Neurospora crassa OR74A: one gene and its partners. The protein of the gene in region 5 interacts with the protein of the main gene of each other region in a biochemical or structural test. Links are inferred from orthologs where the notes say so. Each region holds a gene or a part of one and is shown on either strand. Other genes may lie near its edges.

The links.
Region 1: the proteins of rbg-40 (region 5) and NCU07956 are reported together in a solved structure, tested with the Saccharomyces cerevisiae proteins (2 studies listed by BioGRID, with this or other methods). The link is inferred for Neurospora crassa OR74A from reciprocal best matches to the Saccharomyces cerevisiae genes RIO2 and PNO1.
Region 2: the proteins of rbg-40 (region 5) and NCU08968 are reported together in a solved structure, tested with the Saccharomyces cerevisiae proteins (2 studies listed by BioGRID, with this or other methods). The link is inferred for Neurospora crassa OR74A from reciprocal best matches to the Saccharomyces cerevisiae genes RIO2 and DIM1.
Region 3: the proteins of rbg-40 (region 5) and NCU08323 are reported together in a solved structure, tested with the Saccharomyces cerevisiae proteins (2 studies listed by BioGRID, with this or other methods). The link is inferred for Neurospora crassa OR74A from reciprocal best matches to the Saccharomyces cerevisiae genes RIO2 and ENP1.
Region 4: the proteins of rbg-40 (region 5) and NCU01503 are reported together in a solved structure, tested with the Saccharomyces cerevisiae proteins (2 studies listed by BioGRID, with this or other methods). The link is inferred for Neurospora crassa OR74A from reciprocal best matches to the Saccharomyces cerevisiae genes RIO2 and TSR1.

Annotation. Positions count from the first base shown.
Region 1 is NC_026504.1:1,226,293-1,229,814, forward strand, and holds NCU07956 (pre-rRNA-processing protein PNO1), read right to left. Parts: upstream 2,273-3,522; 5' UTR 2,022-2,272; coding exon 1,726-2,021; intron 1,658-1,725; coding exon 1,350-1,657; intron 1,287-1,349; coding exon 1,117-1,286; 3' UTR 513-1,116; downstream 1-512. Other genes in the region: NCU07957 (hypothetical protein), read left to right, coding at 1-16; pod-1 (mitochondrion biogenesis protein), read left to right, coding at 2,701-3,522. UniProt on the Saccharomyces cerevisiae protein: Required for small ribosomal subunit (SSU) synthesis. Has a role in the processing of early nucleolar and late cytoplasmic pre-RNA species. Recruits DIM1 to nucleolar pre-RNAs.
Region 2 is NC_026505.1:5,864,571-5,868,300, reverse strand, and holds NCU08968 (dimethyladenosine transferase), read right to left. Parts: upstream 2,280-3,730; 5' UTR 2,032-2,279; coding exon 1,243-2,031; intron 1,185-1,242; coding exon 809-1,184; intron 747-808; coding exon 715-746; 3' UTR 509-714; downstream 1-508. Other genes in the region: NCU08969 (hypothetical protein), read left to right, coding at 1-155; NCU08967 (arrestin domain-containing protein), read left to right, coding at 2,845-3,730. UniProt on the Saccharomyces cerevisiae protein: Specifically dimethylates two adjacent adenosines in the loop of a conserved hairpin near the 3'-end of 18S rRNA in the 40S particle.
Region 3 is NC_026504.1:2,401,673-2,405,904, forward strand, and holds NCU08323 (bystin), read left to right. Parts: upstream 1-1,499; 5' UTR 1,500-1,663; coding exon 1,664-2,283; intron 2,284-2,344; coding exon 2,345-2,473; intron 2,474-2,536; coding exon 2,537-2,709; intron 2,710-2,777; coding exon 2,778-2,996; intron 2,997-3,050; coding exon 3,051-3,191; intron 3,192-3,267; coding exon 3,268-3,428; 3' UTR 3,429-3,727; downstream 3,728-4,232. Other genes in the region: NCU08324 (DNA-binding protein HGH1), read right to left, coding at 1-644, 718-831, 900-1,049, 1,120-1,140; NCU16789 (hypothetical protein), read left to right, coding at 3,871-3,946. UniProt on the Saccharomyces cerevisiae protein: Required for normal export of the pre-40S particles from the nucleus to the cytoplasm.
Region 4 is NC_026502.1:3,251,159-3,255,306, reverse strand, and holds the start of NCU01503 (pre-rRNA processing protein Tsr1), read left to right. Parts: upstream 1-1,342; 5' UTR 1,343-1,536; coding exon 1,537-1,645; intron 1,646-1,812; coding exon 1,813-4,148. Other genes in the region: NCU01502 (small nucleolar ribonucleoprotein complex subunit), read right to left, coding at 1-652, 718-1,026.
Region 5 is NC_026504.1:2,085,397-2,088,998, forward strand, and holds rbg-40 (serine/threonine-protein kinase RIO2), read right to left. Parts: upstream 2,209-3,602; 5' UTR 2,045-2,208; coding exon 761-2,044; 3' UTR 513-760; downstream 1-512. Other genes in the region: NCU07723 (norsolorinic acid reductase), read left to right, coding at 1-470; rpn-1 (26S proteasome regulatory subunit rpn1), read left to right, coding at 2,888-3,017, 3,090-3,160, 3,227-3,602. UniProt on the Saccharomyces cerevisiae protein: Required for the final endonucleolytic cleavage of 20S pre-rRNA at site D in the cytoplasm, converting it into the mature 18S rRNA. Involved in normal export of the pre-40S particles from the nucleus to the cytoplasm.

The DNA of each region.
Region 1 (3,522 bases), about 860 kb from region 5:
GGTCTACATCAAGTAGTGTATGACCTGGAGAATAAACATGGAGACTGGGTTTTGGGAGACGTTATTCGCACATTTCTTTAGCTGTTATGGGGTTGGAGTTTACCGGGCTTATTCGTCAGGCCTACGAAATCGGCGGTGACTAGTGGATTATTGTTTTTGCTTAAAGTTGTGACAGATGATTACGGAGTTTGGAGTGTTGCAAGTCCTTCCAGGACACGGTTCATGGTGCGGAGGTGGTACCCTAGCTCTTCAGAAGATACCCATACGTATATCACTTTTTGCTACGTCTTGCCTTCACTTTATTTCAACAAGCTTGATGAGTCATGGGAGTTGGTCAGTCAGAGCACAAAAAGAGCCTCCTCGGGTTAAGATGGTCTCATCCCACCTATCGTAGGTGAATATCGAGGGGTTTGACTATGCTCTATCTGCTATTTCGATATACGGTTCGCCATCTGGACTGTAAAACAAACAAGACCTTTACTTATGCGGAACAAGCGAGATAAGAGAATGGATGGAAATAACTACTACTTGTATGACCTGAAGAAACCAATCTATCGTGGCTCACCTGGCTACATTGGTGCCCATCACATCAGCTCCTTACATTTTGCTTGATTTGCCGTCACCATGGAATTGAACCTCAACCAAATGAGCGCACTGGATCAGTTTCCCACATCACTTTCTCTGCACAATAATCGACCTTGCCAGCCAATATGCACTAAACCGCCTTTTGGTGAATATCTCTGTTCATTGTCTTCTCTTCTCGTCCTCCGGGTATAGATCATAACCACACATTGAAAGATTCGCAAGGCGGTAGCTCCCCAATATCCCGTCCTCTTCCTCCCGCTTCTACACACCTTCGTAGATATCCCCAGCATGACTGACTGAATCGCCCATTTCAAACTCTCCAAACTCAAAGCAAAAGCATAATGAACTCCTAAACGCCAGAACCCTTTTTAAGCGTAGCTCCCGAAATGCCACCTTCGCCCCTTATGTGATGAAAACCGTCGATTTTTTGTTGACTGAACCATGCAGCCCCGTGCGTGAACCATTCATTAGGTGAGAATAGCGGCAATAGAAGTGTAACACATTGTTGCCGTTTTTCGTGAAAGAAAGAGCTTAGAATCTCTCCTTTTGCCTCGAGGCAATGATCCGGAGGTTGTTGTACACCTTGCCGGGCTGGTGTCCGAGAATGAGGGAGACGACGGACTCGCGGGCCATGCCAATGTTCTCGAAGGCACCGAGGATATGAACGCGGGAGCCGGCGAGGACGATTCTGGTTTTTGTGGCTTTTCACATCTTGTCAGTACTTCTGCGTCATCTCTTCCATTCTCCCATAATGGTGAACGTACCATTCTCAATCGCAAACTTGGTCTTTCCGTCCTTGCCTGCAATACGACCAATCGCACGTCCCAGAGCATCGGGGCCAAGGGTCTGACGGACATCCTTGACATCGAAGGACTGGATATAGAGCGAATCGAGACGGAGCAGGGCAATGGCGTCGTCAATGTCGAAGCCCATGGCGAAGGCGGAGACGAAATCGGCACCCATCTGCAGGGATTCGGGGGTGGTGGTGTGTCTGCTGGAGCGGAGCTCGACGCGCTTCTCCTTGATGTTCATGCGGACCTGGAGCTTGCAGTGCTCTACAAGTGGGGGGTAGCTGATTGGAAAACAGTCAGTCTTCCTTGCCCAAACATTCACACATGTTTCCGTAGTTTTCCGTCTCACATCTTGGTCCAATTGGCCTTGAGGGCCGACATGCGGTTTGGCGGGATACCAATTTTCCTGGTCTCTGCGCGGCGAATGATCTGGACGTCCTGGCCGGGGGCGAAACGGGGGCGGCCCTCCTCGTCTACAGCCATCTGCACATCTTGGTCATTGGAAGGGGGAGCGGCGGCGCTGGGATCGGTGAGGTTGACGGCCTCGTTGACATCGAGAATGAGCTCGTCCTCTTGCTCGGTCTGGATAGGAATCTGGGCGGCGGGAGCCTTGACAGGCTGACGAAGTGCTGTTGGCGCAGGCATGTTGGGCGAGATGTGTTGTTTATCGGTGGGTGATGGTCAAGGGGCCGAGTCGGGTTGTTTGTTGATTAAAGTCGGTAGTATTTTGGGAAATCGCCGGCCAAGAGTAATGGCAGATTTTTCGAAAATCGGGTGGAGGAGAGACTGGTGACGGGCGACGAAAGAAGTGTCGGGATGCTGGGTTACAGTCGTGAATTGCGGAGATCTGGGAGTCGAAGTTCTGCCTTTTTGCGCCGTCGGTCTCTAGAATTTTGATGTTTATCGATTTTGATAGCGCAGAGGGGAAATTCTTGACAAAAAGCAGTGGATCCACAAAAGAGTACCCAAGTGAAGCTTATCGATTGGCTGCATGGGGGCTAGGACCCTTGCCAATCGCAACGCCCATGCACTAACAGTTACCGAGGAATCCCTGTAATCCCAAGGTTAGCGTCATTGACGCACTTTTGACGGGGACCTGGACCGGCAGCTTTTTCAAACTCCAGGTTCTTGGTCAGAGCAGGAGCACCATCATATGTCATTCTAGACTCGGCCCACCACCAAGCAACAACATCTGATTTTCAGCCTCGAGGACCGACCATGGATACGGCACCGAGCTGTCGTCATCACCATCGTCGCTGAAAACATAGGAAAAAAAAAAGGAACAGGTCGGTCCCTTACTCGGTCGACAGTATGAATTTCAACAATGTCTACTAGCGCTACGACGACCCAGCTGGGCCGCCAGCTATGGTCTTCAGTACGAGATCTTCACACCACCTCGAATCTCTTCACAGCCGCGATACTGCTTCCAACTTGTCAGCCATTACTGAGTCGTCAAAGTCTTGGACTTGGCCCCTCGACATCGCTGGGGTCCCATCAGCGATACGGACAGCAGCAGAGCACGCGACAATTTACCTCTTCCGCAAGTCGCTTTTTCTTCCCAGCAACAAAATCGCAAAGACTACACTATCAACAGTCACAACCATCCCATAATGTCCTACGAAGCTGTACCTCCGGAGGCCTACTCCTCCTTGGGCTCACCACCAGCCCCTCTCCAACGAGCACGGTAGAGGCATCCGCACTATCCGGCAATGCCGCGCAAAAGGCAAAAATGGGCCACTTGGCTCGGCAGGCTTTACTCTTGCGAAGGATACGACAGAACACCACGACCACAACGTTATGCAAGACAGGAAAGCGATTCCAAAGTTCGGGCAAAGAGACCAAGGGTGATCATGACGAGACCAAGGCCGAAGCCAAGTCTTCTACAATTTCTCCTCAGCAAAAGTCCGAGCAACCACAGCAGCCACCGAATACCGAGACGGCTTCCGGTTCTGGTTCCCAGCCGACTCCCGCACATGAATCAATAGCAGATTCCATGTCTAAATACCTTCACCTTCCTCACCTCCCCCATTTGCCTCATCGGCCCACAAAAGAAGAGCTTCTGGCGGCAGCAAGCGGGTTCTGGTCGCGTCTCAAGGTCCGATTCAAGTGGTTCTCCATCAGGAGCATGCGCCCCTGGAACGCCGAC
Region 2 (3,730 bases), on a different chromosome or scaffold from region 5:
ACGCCGGCGATGGCATGGGTGCTGAGACCTTCGTGGTTTTTGGGCTATGGGTGTTGGGTGCGGAGGATGGAGGTCGAAGAATGGAGGAGTGGAGGAGAGAAGGACAAGAACGGCGACACATTTTAGTATCCAGTGTCGTGCTTTCCAAAATATAAGTTGCGGTCACCATTTGTTCTTCTTCTTTTTCTTTGCCCCTCTTCAATGGTTTTGAACAACTGACAAGCTATCGAAAGAAGGCTTCCACGCTTTCTGGCTTGGTAACGACGCACTCGGCGCCTGTTACTGAGAGAGGTAGGGTAGGAAAACAGCTTGCTCTCCTGTGCTTTCCGTTTCCCTGTTACTCCAAGGACTCGGTCCCGTAGGTCACTGACCACTCCCCCGATCCATGGTTTTATTATAAAAGACATCTCGATGCGGTAGGTCTGGTATTGTCAGCAATTGCTTCTCAGCAATGTTTGAGCAACGTGACGAAGAGAACAACATCCGACGCTCAAGCAATCCAAACGAAAGATGATTATGGTTCGATTCCTGGCAAAAGTGGCAGCCAGATTCATTGGCTTTTATGATTGTGCAAATCCTAGCATCCAGATCAATGGTATTTCCACGACAAATGGAACAAAACAAAGAATTTTTAAAAAACGACATTTTCCCAATCCCCAAAAAACGCCCCGTACGCCGATGATTTCTGTGCGTGTTCGCAATAATAACACACGTCTAAGAGAAGTGAATACCCTCCTCGTGGAACGCTGTCAGGAGTGTTAGCGAGGTTGTCCATCAGAAAGGGAAGCCGAGGGGGAAGAAAACGTACCAAGCAACAGCTTGAGGAAATCGTTCTGATCGCACTGCCTAGCTCTCTTGTCCGCCAAACCGGTGCTCGTAAGCACCTTGTTCAACTTGGCCTTGACTATCAAGGCCACCTTGGACTTGGGGTTCTTGCTAGGTGTCTTGGCGTCCTTAGCGTTGGCGTCGTTTTGCTCCTTGAAGAAGACGGGCATGTCCTCGTCCTCATCCTCCTCCATAGCCTCGTCATCGTCGTTGTTCTCTTCGTTATCATTGTCTTCGTTGTCGTCGTCCATCTCGACGTCCATGGCATCGTTGGTGGCGCCGGCGGCAGCAAGGTCAGCCGCGGAAGCGAGGGACTCGTCGATGGGGATGTTGTTGAGGGTGCAGTAGACTTTGTAGTTCTGGAAACGAAGTGGTCAGTAAGAGTTGGAGCTTGTGAACACATGGGAAGAAACGTACCCTCTCGCACATGTTGAGGACCTCCTTCTGGTTGAAGCCGGCATAAAGGGTCTTGTTCTTGCGGTTGAAAGCAATGCGAAGGAGACCGTCGAACTCCTCAAAAGCAATGTTGGGGCGCGCCGAACCAACAAGGGGCTCAATTCTGACGACGTCGGACTCGACCTTGGGAGGAGGCTTGAAGTTCTGCTTGCCGACCTTCATGATGTGCTTGCATGTGGCCCAGAAGTTGACATTGACACTCAATCTCGAGTAGAGAGCATCACCCGGCCGAGCCACCAGTCTCTTTGCGAATTCTCTTTGAAACATGAGTACGGCGACGCGGGGCGGGTTGGGCATGGCCAACATCTTGAAGATGAGCGGACTGGAAATTTGGTAGGGAGTGTTGGAGATGAGAGCGTCGCATGGAGGCATTTCGGGCATCTTGATGACATCGCCGAGAATGACCTCGAGCTTCTTGGCTAGCGGAGTGCCCTGGACACGCTTGGTAACTTCGGCACCCATACGAGGATCGAGCTCGATGGCGATGACCTTCTTTGCCTTTTCAAGGGCGCGGACCGTGATGTTGCCGGTACCGGGACCGACTTCGACGACGACATCGGTGGGCTTGAGGAAGGCCTTGTCGACAATGGCATCCGAGATACCGGGGTTCTTGAGGATATGCTGGCCAAAGTCCTTGTCGAACTTGAAGATGTTGGTGTTGGTAGCCTTGCCGCCGCCGCCGCCCCCCTTGCGATCGTAGGGGTTGCCGCCGCCCCCCGACTTCTTGGACGCCTTCGCTGCCTTGGGCATGGTGTAGTCTAGTCAATGCTGTCGTGGGTAGGTGTGTGGAGGAAGACGACTCGGAATCGAGGTCGGACGAGAAGGTTGGGGGATCGATGGAGGGTTTCGTCGTTTCGGTCGATCTCTGTCCGGGTCGAGACTTGGGCGGTTCGTTCTCAAGTCACGGCAGTCGCGCAATGGCTGTAGTATGTACCTCTATTGTGAGACGGACAGAGGTACCGCAGGCTGAAGAGAGCTTCCTTGTGCCTGCGCCGGACCCCGGCCGACATCTTTTTTTTGAGTGGATCAGGCGGCAGAAAAAAAGATGCCCCGCCAGACATGTGGCTGATAAGATAAGCAAAAGGCTGACCGCTTTCCCCATTGAGACACCATGCGGGCGGCGGCGGCGGCCCAGCCCACTGGAAACATCAGTGGAATCCAGGCACCTCGGCCACTTCCGACCGATGATTCCCCGTCTGACGTAACAGCGGAGGCCGCCCTAAACATGTGCGGCGGGTTCAAATTGCTACCCAGCACTTAAACGGCAAATCCTCCGGTCTTTCAGTGAGGGTCTTCCCCGTCATCACCTAACTGCCGTGTGAAGCTGATCACATCGAAGCAGACAGGCAGTGGCTTTGAATTTTCATCTACCTACCTATAATACCAACCCCCTCCCAAGGTTCGAGGAAATCGGATTGTAAAAAAAAAATAACAGATTCTTTTCCATCATCTTCTCCTTGGCTCATACCTGGGCGTGTGACCCACTGGTTATTCCTTGTTGTTTTGGTTCATGTGGTGATAGCCTCATTTCTCTGTTGAAGTTGACGATAATCAATCGCAACCATGTCGATACGGATCGCCCTCGAAAACCCTCCCGAGTTCTACACAAACCTGGATATTATCCGCGGCCAGGTCGTCCTCACTCTCAGTCGTCCCGAACAGATCGGAGGCATCATCGTCAAACTCGAGGGTGAAGCCAAGTCGGCCTTGGGAGTACCCGCCGATGGCTCAGGGACCGGCATTGCTCAGAGGGAGCGCACTCCAACCGGCGATGTTATCTACGAGAACCACAAGATCCTATACAAAGTCACCCAGGCCTTTCCCGACGAGAAGACCAACGCCTTGCCACAGCCCTATGTCCTAGCCGCTGGTCAACACAGATTCCCCTTCCAGTTCAAGTTTCCCTTCAACAATGCTTGTGGTGATCCTGTCGCCATGGCCAAACTAGGAGGCCTTTCTGGTGCCGGTGGAATCGCGTCGGGTTCTGGCTTGTTCGGTCTCGGTGGCATTCGTGTTATGGACGGCACCAAGCAGCTGATGTACTCCCATGTCACAAAGACGCTCCCACCCAGTTTCACCGGATTCCCAGGCCAGTGCGAGATTCGATACTATGTCAAGGTTACCATTCAGAGACCGGGCTTTTTCAAGGAGAACTGGAGGATGCAGACCGGCTTGAAATTCCTTCCTATTGAGCCTCCAAGGCCGCCCAAGACGAACCACGAAGCCTATGCCAGACGACCCTTTGCATTCCGTCCACGAAGCCCAAGGACAAACGCGTCTTCCAAGAAACGAGCTTCTTTCTTCAGCGGGTGGACTGGGAGTAGCAATGCAGGGTCATCTTCAGCCCCAACAACAACAACAACAACGGCTGATGGAAAACTTGCAACGGAGCCCGAAGTGCCTCCGTCGATAGAGATGTCGGCTCGACTTCCACACCCTGCCATCATCA
Region 3 (4,232 bases), about 320 kb from region 5:
TGGGTTTCCCGAACAATGGGGTAAACACTGATGCTCCTCATCAAATCGCGGCCAGCTCTCGTTGTGGTGAGGAGAGTAAGAGTTTCTAGGTGTGTCAGGATGTTGCTGCTGTCGGGATCGCGCTGCTTGTCTGGAGGCAATAGCTGAAGATCGGTAAGCATTTCCAATGCCTCATCCTCGGGATAAACTTCGCCGCCCATGATAGGAAGTAAAATGTAGGGTAAGATATTGACGTCATCCTCATCCAAAAACGCCGGGTGCGAAGGAATGTCAAAAGCAGCGTTCTTGATAATGCTCGCCACTCCCTTTCGCCTGATATCGGACTTGTGTTCGGTAAAGACCTTGATCTTGTTGATTGGAATAACATCGTCGTAGTCCTGTCTGTTGACAAAGTAGTGCCGGATCTCTTCATGTTTCGAAAGGTCGGCAAAGACGTAGGAGAGGTAGTCGTAATCGGCGTGCTTGTTGTAAGTCCCGTCGGCGCCCTTGACGAAGAGGTCCATTAGTTGGTTAATGACCCTATCGTCGGACTTGAGCTTCTCTGGAGCGGGCTGTTTCCGGTCTAGAAGACTTTTGAGTCCATCCCACTTGGTCAAGTTTGCCAGCAACATAGCCATAAGATTGGCGTTAACCTCCTCGGGCTCCTATAGGAACGGGATCGAAGCGGTTAGTCCTTGCTGCGCACGCACCGTAGGAGCTCAGAATGGATACACATACGACAAGAAGCCCGAGGAGGATTCCAAGGAAGCGATCATCGGTCGCGACGTATTCCAGCACATCCTTCTCGGCAGTCAAGTTGATCAAGCATGTTAGGGCGTGCTCGGCGATTTTCTGCACATGGTACCGACGTCTTAGCTGAAGCTGCTTGGGCGCAAACAAGACAAGTCTGTTGGGCCTACCGGGTGGTCGCGGATCAAGAACTTGAGATGCTTGATGGGGGTGAGCTCGTCGGTCTTGAAGAGGGCGGGCTGAGACGCTGAGAAGGGCACCAGGTTCTCTGTCGCGAGAAGGCGGATGTTGGCGTTCGGCGAGGCAATGAAGCCCACGAGCTTCAGGCGATTATAGCGATTAGTTGTCTGTCCACTGACATTGACACTGCACTGGTTCTGGCAGAATTACCTCTTCAAGTTCGGTCGGCATGTTATCAATGGTAGCTGGATGTATGGTTGTATTGGACTTGCTATAAGCTCGTAACCGTGGCGAGCGAGGCTATGATGTCGCGACTTCCCTTGCTCTTATTCATGCAGTGGGCCAAGCTGCAAAAACTGTAAACACAGGGAACAAAATTCCAGGAATTTGCAACCGAAGAGGGGCACAGTGACGAAAATGCGGGGCAATAAAATGTTTATCGCTGCTCCGCCGGGCGCGTCCAAGCTAGACGATAAGCGATAAGAGGTATTGTACCGCTTATCATTTTCACCGCCCTGGCATCAGAAAATAAAGTGTGCCCACACAGCAAAGAAGTGACCAACCACAAGCGTAGCGCAAGCCTTTCAAGTGCCCAGACTTCTCCACGGCGGGAACAAATTGTCCAAGGGTCGCCGAAAAAAATATCCCCAATTGCCGTGTGCAGCCAAGTCGACATCGCAAAGAGAGGGGACAACCAGGAGAGCTCCGTATCATCAACTCTTCCCCCGATTGCACAACCCTACCGCCATTCAAGATGCCCAAGACAACAGCGGCGACGTCGAAGAGGCGCCACAACCCCCTCGAGGCCGACCTCGTTTCTACCGGCGTCCTTAAGAACAACTCCGGCAAAAAGAGCAAGAACACTCGCGCCGCCAACGACGAAGATGAGCAAAAGTATGTCGACGCCAAGGCTTCGCGCAACATTTTGGCTATGAGCCGTAGCCTCATCGAGGAGGAGGAGAACCTCCGGACAACACAAAACGCAGCCTCCGGATCTGCTCCTTCGGCGTTCGAGTTCGATCCATCGAGATTCGACCGCAACGATGACGAAGACGACAAGTTTGAGAACGACGAGGCCTGGGGCGAGGAAGAGGAGGAGGAGGTAGAGGAAATCGAAGTCGACGCCACCGATCTCGAGACATTCAACCAGTTTATCACACCCACAATGAACGAGGACCCGCTCCTAACACACGGATGGGATGGAAAGCCAGAAGGGGCAGAAGAGCAGGGTCAGAGCGTGAACCTGGCGGACCTTATTCTTGCCAAGATCGCAGAGAAGGAAGCCGGCGGCCCCCAAGGCGGGTACCGCGACGAGCCTGGCCCAATTGATGAGGATTACGAGATCCCCCCAAAGGTGATGGAAGTGTTTGAGAAGTAGGCTGGCCGTTATTTCTGTTACCCTCTTGGCAGACTACTGACAGACTCCTTCTCGCAGAATTGGCATGATTCTTTCTCGCTACAAATCTGGGCCGCTTCCCAAGCCTTTCAAGGTCCTTCCTCAGATCCCCCACTGGGAGGACATCTTGCCCATTACACAACCCGAGTCCTGGACTCCCAATGCCTGGTATGGTTGCTTCTTCCTGTTTTCGGGAGCCAGAGAAACGCTGCTGACATTTGCGATTGTTAGCTACGCGGCCACCAGGATATTTGCGTCCGCCAAGGAGGCTGTTCTTCAACGGTTTATGGAGATGGTGATCTTAGAACGCGTCCGCGAGGACATTCACGAGACCAAGAAGCTCAATGTCCATCTTTTCAACTCCCTAAAAAAGGCCCTCTACAAGCCTGGTGGTTTCTTCAAAGGTGTGTTATTTACTGCCTACGCTTAGTCAGGTTTGCTCAAAAGGGACAACCCAGCTAACCGTTGGCAGGCTTCTTGTTTCCTTTGGCGGCTTCCGGAACGTGCTCGCTGCGTGAGGCGCAGATCGTAGCCGGTGTTTTGACCCGGGTCACCATTCCGGCTGTTCATTCCGGTATGGCCATTAAGGGCTTGTGCGAAATTTCTTCTGCGCAGGCTTCTCAGCGCCTCGACTGCGTTAGCGCTACGAATTTCCTCCTCAAGACTCTGATTGAGAAACGTCACGCCTTGCGTAAGTCCAATTCCTAGCGTGCCAATGATTGTATTCTCTGACTTTGTAATACAGCCTTCCAAGCGCTCGATGCCCTCGTCTTCCACTTTCTTCGGTATCCCGCTTTCGCCACCGGCGGGCATATGGCACCCAACGCTTTACCAGTCATCTTCCATCAGTGCATGCTCTCATTTGCACAGAGATACAAGACGAACAGTGAGTTTGCTTCTTCCGTCGCTGTTTCACTATGCGTCCCTATTATTTTTGAGTACTAACCGCGGTCTTTGTGTAGTTACTGAGGACCAGCGAGAGGCTCTCCTGGATCTTCTCCTAACTCACGGCCATGACAAGATTTCGCCCGAGATCAGGCGAGAACTTCTCGCAGGTCGCGGAGGTGGTGTCCCTGTCGCGCAACCCGGATTTGATGGCGATGACACGATGCTGGACGCTTGAAGAAACATCGGTGATCCGGTAATGACTTATAGACGATGAACCCTTGGTATGCAACGAGGACATGTGGCTCATTTTTACCTGGTACGCGCATAGAGATGGGAGTCGTGTTGTTTAGTGACCTTGGTGGCTTGGGGCAGTCCTTAGACATTGACCCCTTTGATAATACTATGTCACGCCTCGACAGTGGCTACTACTCATCACGCCGCTTGAAGAGGAAGTGGTCATGCCAAGTCAGTCACCATGTACTACCCTTTGTATCTTAGTGGTGCTGACCAACCAGCAACATAATTGTTGACGACCTGTAATGCTTTAGTGCACGAAATTATAAATTCAAGATACCCGGTACAGCAACAGGAATTGTCGAGGAGCCTTGGAATAATCATTTTCAGTTATGTGAAGGAAGCTGCCTTTTGACTTCTTTGTTGCGTCAATCTGGCTTGGAATGCCCTTCTCCCATTTTTCCAAGTCCAAGGCAACCGCGATCCTCTGCCACGTTGTCGGAATCCTGAGAGAACAGTGTAAAGGGAAAGAAGGCAATGTAGCTCTCGCCTACTTCGATATCTCGTGTATCTGATGGCATCATCCCGTATTAGGTGCTTTTACCATACGAGTTTCTAGTGTTCTCTTCCTAACACCCGGTCAACCCGAACATTCTAAGCACTCCGCCCCTCTCGTTTCCCTATTTATTCTTGAGATTGCTTTCTTACCCCGAGACACCAAGTTCTACTCAGTATTTCCGCAAGATCAGGATTTTCGGCGCTGCTTTCTGGCGTTTCGCCTAAGAATCCCGACACCACCTCAACC
Region 4 (4,148 bases), on a different chromosome or scaffold from region 5:
TCTTGCAGTCCTGTCCTGTTGTCACCATGTAGCGGCCTTCGCGGTCGACAGCCATGGATCGTACGGGACCACGGTGGGCAAGGAGCTTGACCAGAGGTTCTGACGAGTTGGGCGACCATAGCGTTACTGTGCCGTTCTGGTGACCAACATGGAGGATAGCGTTCCAGGGGTTTTGTGTCATGGAAACGGGTGTGCCCAGCTTCGTTGCGATTTCGGTGACGATCTGACCGGTCGATGTGTCCTGGTACTTGAGCTGGCCGTTTGTGCCCAGGGTGGCCAGCAGGAAGTGGTAGGGGAGGAATTCGAGGTGGGAGACTTCGACGTGTTTCCTTAGGCAGTGGAGCTCGACGCCCTGCGAGTCGTAGATGTAGGTGTACTTCTTCTGAGCGACGGCAAAGTATTGGTTGTTGTGTAGCCACTTGACGTCCCTGATGGTCTCTCCCAACTGCAACTCACAGCCCAGCTTGCCGTCTCTCCAGTCCATCGTAGCGACATGGCCCTTTCGTCCTGCCAGAATCAGATCCCGGCCATTCCTCGAAAAATCGCAAATGTAAGGGCCTAGTTGGTCGAGCTTCAAGTCGAACTTTTTCTGGGCGACCTCAATGTTGACTTCGCTGACGATGTCCTCCTGGCGAACCTTGTATGTGCGTTCCTATCGTGACCAGCGCGGTTAGTATCGCGCAAGAGGCTATAAACTCCCAAGCCATGGCTACTCACAAGCTCATGTTCAGCCTCGAGGAAACCGCCGGCATTCTCGAGAAGGATTTCGGCCTCCTTGGCCTTTAGCGTGGCCGTCTGGTACTTTTCTTCGAGGTTGGTAAGGTTGCGCTTGAGCTTTTTGTCCTTGACGTTCTTGACATCGATCTTGCGACCACGGCCGTACGACTTCTCTGCTGCCTTGACTTTGCGGATCTTGTTGGCCTCGGCCTTTGATCGGAACTCGCTTCGGACGTTGTTGATGGCAACGGCGCCGCTGGGCTGCTCTGCCCTCGAGAGGGAGATTTCGGCCCTGTCTGTAGTCTCCATGGTGCCAATGGGTCGACGCGACACAATGGGAATGGGTAATATGTGTGGTGGACTAGGACAGTTGGATCGGCGACGGGATATGGATGGGGGCTGAATATGGAATTGGTCTGGCGGTTTCTCGGTGTGCCCGTGTCTGTCCCTCGCTTTGGCACTTTGAATGTTTCCTTTCCTCGACAACTTTTTTGGGGCCGGACCCACTAAAAAGTTGGATGGGGCAGCTGTTCCGCAGCGATCATTGGCTCCACTGCGTACAAGAGTCCGATAAGATAAGTAGCGAGACGGCCGCCCATGTTCGCACAACTCAAAAAAATGCAACGAGTGCCCCGCCATTGACATTGTCCCCATCACTTTATTCGATACTCGATAGACGGATTGTGACCAGAGAGGTTCTCGAAATCTCTTTTCAGTCCCAACCCCCCAGCCTCTTCTCTTCATCGCCTCCCCAGGTCCAACATCCTGGCGTCAAACTCGCTCCCTTTTCGGTTCAAAGCAGGCGGCGATTCCAGCAATATGCCCGGCGCCGTGAGCGGCCACTCGCATCGGCCGACGACCAAGGCGTCGAACAAGCCCTTCAAGTCACGCCATTCTACCAAGGGTGCTCTCCGGAATGCTGCCAAAGGTACGGATTGCATATAACAGCCGTGCCTCATGCCAAGGTTGTTGCCTTGGACTATGCTCTACTTCACCCAACTTTGGCGCACCAAGCCCAAGCAGACATGAATATACAGCTGCATATAAAGAGGTCGACAACGTCCACACAGCGCTAATACTTTCAACATTCTATAGGCAAGGTAGCCGAGGAGAGAGGTGTGCGCAAGACCCCCCATCAACAAGTCATGTCCAAGTTCGACCGTCGCAACCGTAACAAGCAGCTTCAGCTGCAAAAACACAAGGAACATCTCCAGGAGACCTCCATTTTCGCCGGCAAGGATGGTGCCCCCAGAAACGTGGCCGTTATCCCCCTGTGCAGCGACGGTGACGCTACCGAAGCCATCAAGAGCCTGAACGCCAGCATTGATATCGAGACCGAGGTGCCCGAGGGCGCATTCCGCGTTCCCGTCGACAGATTCAAGCAGAAGCTTCAATACTTCCCCCTCAAGCGCGACCTTACCGCCTGCCTGGACGCTGCCAGAGTCGCCGACTATGTCGTTCTCGTTTTGTCCGCGCAGGAAGAGGTCGATGAACTTGGCGAGCTGATCTTGCGCAGCGTTGAAAGCCAGGGTCTCTCTACCCTCTTCACCGTCGTCCAGGGCCTCAACAAGATCGAGCCCCAAAAGCAGAGACTCTCCGTTCTTTCGTCTCTCAAGTCCTACATCACCCACTTCCACCCCGAACAGGATAAGGTCTTCAGCCTCGACAACAGACAGGAATGCTCCAACCTCATGCGCTCGCTATGCAGCACTACACCCAAGGGCATTCGCTGGAGAGACGAGAGGAGTTGGATGCTTGTGGAGGAGGTCAAGTTTGGTGAGTCTACCGTGCTTACCGGTGTCGTCAGGGGCAAGGGCTTGAAGGCCGACCGCCTGGTGCAGGTTGGCGATTGGGGCACCTTCCAGGTTGAGAAGATCACAGCAGCTCCCTTGGCCAGGAGGAAACGTGGAGAGGAGGGCATGAACGTGGAGGAGGGCGCTGAGGAGATTCTCGACCAGCCTACCGACGACCGCGATGATCTTGTCGACCTTGCGCCCGAGGAGGTTCGCATGGAGGACGACGACGATGACGAAATGAACGACGGAATGACCACAATGACGACTTCAAAGAAGGGTGTTTTGTTGGACGACCACCATTACTTCTCAGAGGAGGAGCCCGAGGCTTATACTGCGCCAAAGAAGCTTCCCAAGGGTACATCAAAGTACCAGGCTGCGTGGTACCTAGACGACGATGTGTCTGATTCCGGCTCAGATATGGAAGAGGACGATGAGATGGAGGACGACGACGAGGAAGAGGCCGCCAGGCCAGAGGATGGCGAGGAGGGTCTTGCTGGTTACGCGCCAACAGAAGCCGGACAAACCGAGTACCCACAAACTGAGGGCGGCTTCATCCAACCTGATGCTGATGAGGATGCCAAGCAACTAGAGGCTTTCCGCAAGCAAAAGCGGGATGAGGCTCAGGATGACCTCGAGTTCCCTGATGAGATCGAGCTCCACCCCCACGTTCTTGCTCGTGAACGTCTAGCCAAGTACAGAGGTCTCAAGAGCTTGAGGTCAAGCCCTTGGCAGGAGGATGAGGACCGCGCATACCAGCCAGAGGATTGGGAGCGCTTGTTGAAGATCCAAGACTACCAGGCCTCCAAGATCAGGGCGTCTAGGGAAGCCCTTGTCGGAGGTGTTGCTCCTGGTACCCGCGTCCACGTTTACCTTAAGGACGTGCCCGCGACCATCCAGCAATCCTACAACCCCAGCCAGCCCGTCACTCTATTCTCCCTGCTCAGGCACGAGTACAAGAAGACTGCTGTCAACTTCCTCATCAACCTGAGCGCGGACGCTGCCGCACCCATCAAGGCCAAGGAGGAGTTGATCATACAGTGCGGTCCCCGCCGCTTCGTCATCAACCCGCTCTTCTCCCAGGGCGGCAACACTCCCAACGACGTCCACAAGTACTGCCGGTACCTGCACCCCGGCCAGTCGGCTGTCGCTACTTTTACGGGTCCTGTCACATGGGGTGCTGTACCCACCCTCTTCTTCAAGAGGCAAGTGCCGGGCTCCGTGCTTGACGAAGATGGCGAGCCCGTCTCCAATCTGCCGCTCAGCCTCGTCGCCACCGGCACTGCCCTGCCCCCCTCGACATCGCGCGTCGTCGCCAAGCGTGCCATCCTTACCGGTCACCCGTACCACATCCACAAGAAGATTGTCACCATCCGCTACATGTTCTTCAACAGGGAGGACGTTGAGTGGTTCAAGGCTCTGCCTCTGTGGACCAGGCGTGGCAGGAGCGGTTTCATCAAGGAGGCGCTGGGTACCCACGGTTACTTCAAGGCTACCTTTGACGGGCGCATCAACCCTCAGGACTCTGTGGGCGTCAGCTTGTACAAGAGGGTGTGGCCCCGGAGTGCCAAGCAGCTGGGTGCGCCTCTGCTGGATGCCGCGGCGCTCCAGCAGGAGGTTGATGAGGACGCTATGGAT
Region 5 (3,602 bases):
ACGAAGGCATGGGGCTCGCGCCCTGGGGGGCCCTCGGGGGCGGCAGCTTCAAATCGGAGGAGCAGCGCCAGCAGCAAGCCAACGAAGGCCGCAAGATCAAGGCGACCGAGGAGCAGATCAAAATCAGCCGGGCTCTGGAGAAGATTGCGCAGCGTAAGAACACAGCCATCACCTCCGTCGCCCTGGCGTACGTGATGCACAAGGCTCCGTACGTGTTCCCGATTGTTGGCGGCCGGTCGGTCGAGCACCTGAAGGGTAACATTGAGGCGCTCACGCTGGCGTTGTCGGACAAGGATATCGACGAGATTGAGAGCGCGGTTCCGTTCGATATTGGGTTTCCTAGCTCATTCTTGTATGGAGAGAAGGTTCCTGCGCACCCCAGTCAGGTTTGGTTGATGGGTATGGCGGGCACATATGATTATGTCCCGGTGCCGAAGCCTATCGTGCCAGCGGCGGAAAATGGTCAGTAGAGCCGACATCGCCGCCAGAGGTCTTTGAAGGTTAGGTGGGAGCAGAAGCTAAAGTATTAGTACGTTTCAATGTGATTCAAGTTGGGCTTTATTCGATTGTGACGTGTGTCAAACTGCTTTTGCGGAGGGTGTCATAATCAACATATGGGTTGCAAAAAAACTGATAAGCGTAAAGTCTTAAAAACCTGCTTGGCACGTCTTAGTACAAATTTGCTTGATAGAAATGCATAGGATTTGGGGGTATCTCAAAGCTGACATGAAACGCGTTTCTTTTCTCCTCTCGATGTGCTTCAAGCCCTTCGCTTGCCGCCCTTGCCGCCAAGTGATAACTTTTCCAGCCCCTTCTCTGCATCTGACAAAGGCCTTCCAACATTTGCCGGAATCTCGAACACGGCGTGTTCCTCTTCCTCTTGTTGATCTTCCTCATCTTCCTCATCATCTGTATCGCTTCCACTATCATCCTCCTCATCCTCGTCCTCGTCCTCGTCGAGTTCTTCTTCCTCCACAGCCTCACCCGCATCAATCTTCGCCTGTTGTTCCTGAATAGCCTTCTCCAGTTCCTTGAGCATCTTCTTGGTAAATCCTGAAGCCTCCACAGTGGCGTCCAACCGCTTAGCTCCATCCTTGCCAACCGTCTTCTTAGCATCCTTGAAGAAAGGACCGGGTTGTGTGGGCACAAAGTGGAAGCGCTTCTTGAAGAACCTCTTGATGCATTCGACATCGCGGTCAAAGTACATCTCGGCGTTTACGTGGTCCATAGACACCATTTGTGGGAAGTCGATAATGACTGGGACAAGGGTTACCGTCTCCGTCTCCTTCTCCTCGCCGTCCTCGATCGTGTACTTGGTGGTCCGCTCCTCTTTGATCAAAATGTTGAACTCGTTGAAATCACCATGGATGAGCCCGTGCTTGGCCAATCGAAGGATGAGGTCGATAAGCTCAGCGTAGAGGCTCGCGGGGTCTGGAACCGAGGAGACCTGTCTAAGTGGTAGGGACTCGACCAGGCTCATGACGATAGTGTGTCGGGACTGGGAAATCGGTTCGGGAACGGGAAAGCCTTCTTCTTGGAGAGCCTGCATGAAGGCATATTCCTTCATGGCCGCAAGCCGCGAGAGATACATCCATGAGCCGCCTTGCCGGTTGCGCAAGTAGTCGCGGTTGGACTTGACGGTACGGAAGGAAATGCGGCCTAGGCGATGGATCTTGAGAATCTTCTGCTTGCCGGTCTTGTCGGCTACGATCATGATGTCGGATTCCTTGCCAACACCCACACGACTGCCAACGCTGTAGACGACATCTTTCGAGGAGTGGGTGTGTAGGGCCAGATAGTCAAGACCGCCGTAGGTCAGTCGGTAGCCGTCGTACTTGGCCTCCTTCATGCGTCCGATGAGGCCAGACTTGGCAAGGGTCGCTATGCTCTTGTGAACACCACTGGCACCGCCCTTGAGACGGGCAATTCTCTCGATCAGAGGGGTCGGGACGAGCTCGTGGTTCTTGCTGCCCATCTCAACGGCAGTCAAGACTCTCCAGTCTTCTGCCGTGAGATGGCGTAAAACTCTGGTGTCCAAAAACATGATTGTGTGTTTCTTTTTGGATGTTTTTTGTTTTTTCCCCTCAGGTGATTGTCGGCCTAATTGCTGTGAGAGATTTTCTGATGTTGTATTGATCCAAGAGAGCTATTAGGTTGCTGTCTACGACGCTCTCGTCAAAGTCAAAGTCAAGGTGGGTGAAGCGCAAAGCTGATGTCCAGAATGGAAAGTGGGCGTCCCCCAAATTCCAAATGCACGGTTGCGATAACATCTTCCCGATAAGATAGGGCTGGCCGTGGGCTCCATTCGCTGAGCTGTGCCTGCCCGGTCAAGCGCCAGGTCCAGGCCAGTAGCTTATCTTATCAGAAGCTTGGGGGGAGCGGAATTTGTATCTTCCAGGCTCTGATGACGCCTCGTCCCCACCGAGGCTTCCAGACCCACTTGAGGCGGGCAGCATTGGATCGCAGGGGCGTTCTCAGCCAGACGGGGGAGCTTCAGGCGGCAAGCGAGTCGCGTAACCACCATCGGAGCTCCCTGGCGTTAGTACCGTAACTGCCACTGACCTTTGCTGGCTTTCAGCAACTGAGGTGCTTCTGGGCGAACCTGCAAAAGCTCCAACCTCCAAAACCGTCACCTGAACAACATAACAACCTCCAAACAACCGCAGCCAGCTCATCCACTTTTGATTTTGACATTCTGCTCACGACTGGAGCTCAAGTTCCTGTCGCTCAAGCAAACTCGGTGACAAAACTTGAACATTTCTTGCAGCAGCGAACGCCACCGCCGCGTCCACCTACCCCGGCCAGCCCAACCGACCTTGGTTTCCCCTCCAACTGGACCCATCGGCTCCGCGAATCCTCCCACCTACAACCATCACGGCCAGTAATCATGGCGCAAGAAAGCGACCTGTCCAAGACGGCCGATAAGGGCAAGGGAAAGGCCGTCGATGACGAGAAGAAGCACCAAGATGTCGATGGAAAGACCCCCGCAAACGGAAAGAAGGAGGAGGAACAGAATGGTGGGTTTCTCGGCCACTCCGACCGACTTGAGGTATCGGCGCCGGGCTTCTGCTGACAGCGCTTTGCGTTAGCTTCCGAGGAACTCAGTGAAGAGGATCAGCAGCTCAAGAGCGAGCTTGAGATGCTCGTTGAGCGGCTAACGGTTGGTGCTTCGCAATGACGTGATACAGGCTGAAGACCGGCTTCTCTAACAGTACAATGTCTTCAGGAATCCGATGCGACCCTCTACAAGCCGGCCCTCGAGGCCATGAAGAACTCTATCAAGACATCCACATCCTCCATGACGGCGGTACCGAAGCCGCTCAAGTTCCTGCGCCCGCATTATGAAACCATGACGAAACTCTACGACGAGTGGCCCGCTGGCGATGATAAGTCATCTCTCGCAGATGTTCTATCGGTGATCGGTATGACATACTCGGACGAGGACCGCCAGGATACTCTGAAATACAGACTTCTTTCCCCAACACAGGACATTGGCTCGTGGGGTCATGAGTACGTTCGCCATCTCGCCCTCGAGATTGGCGAGGTCTACGCCAAGCGCATAGCCAATGATGAGCCGACTCAAGAGCTGGTCGATCTTGCCC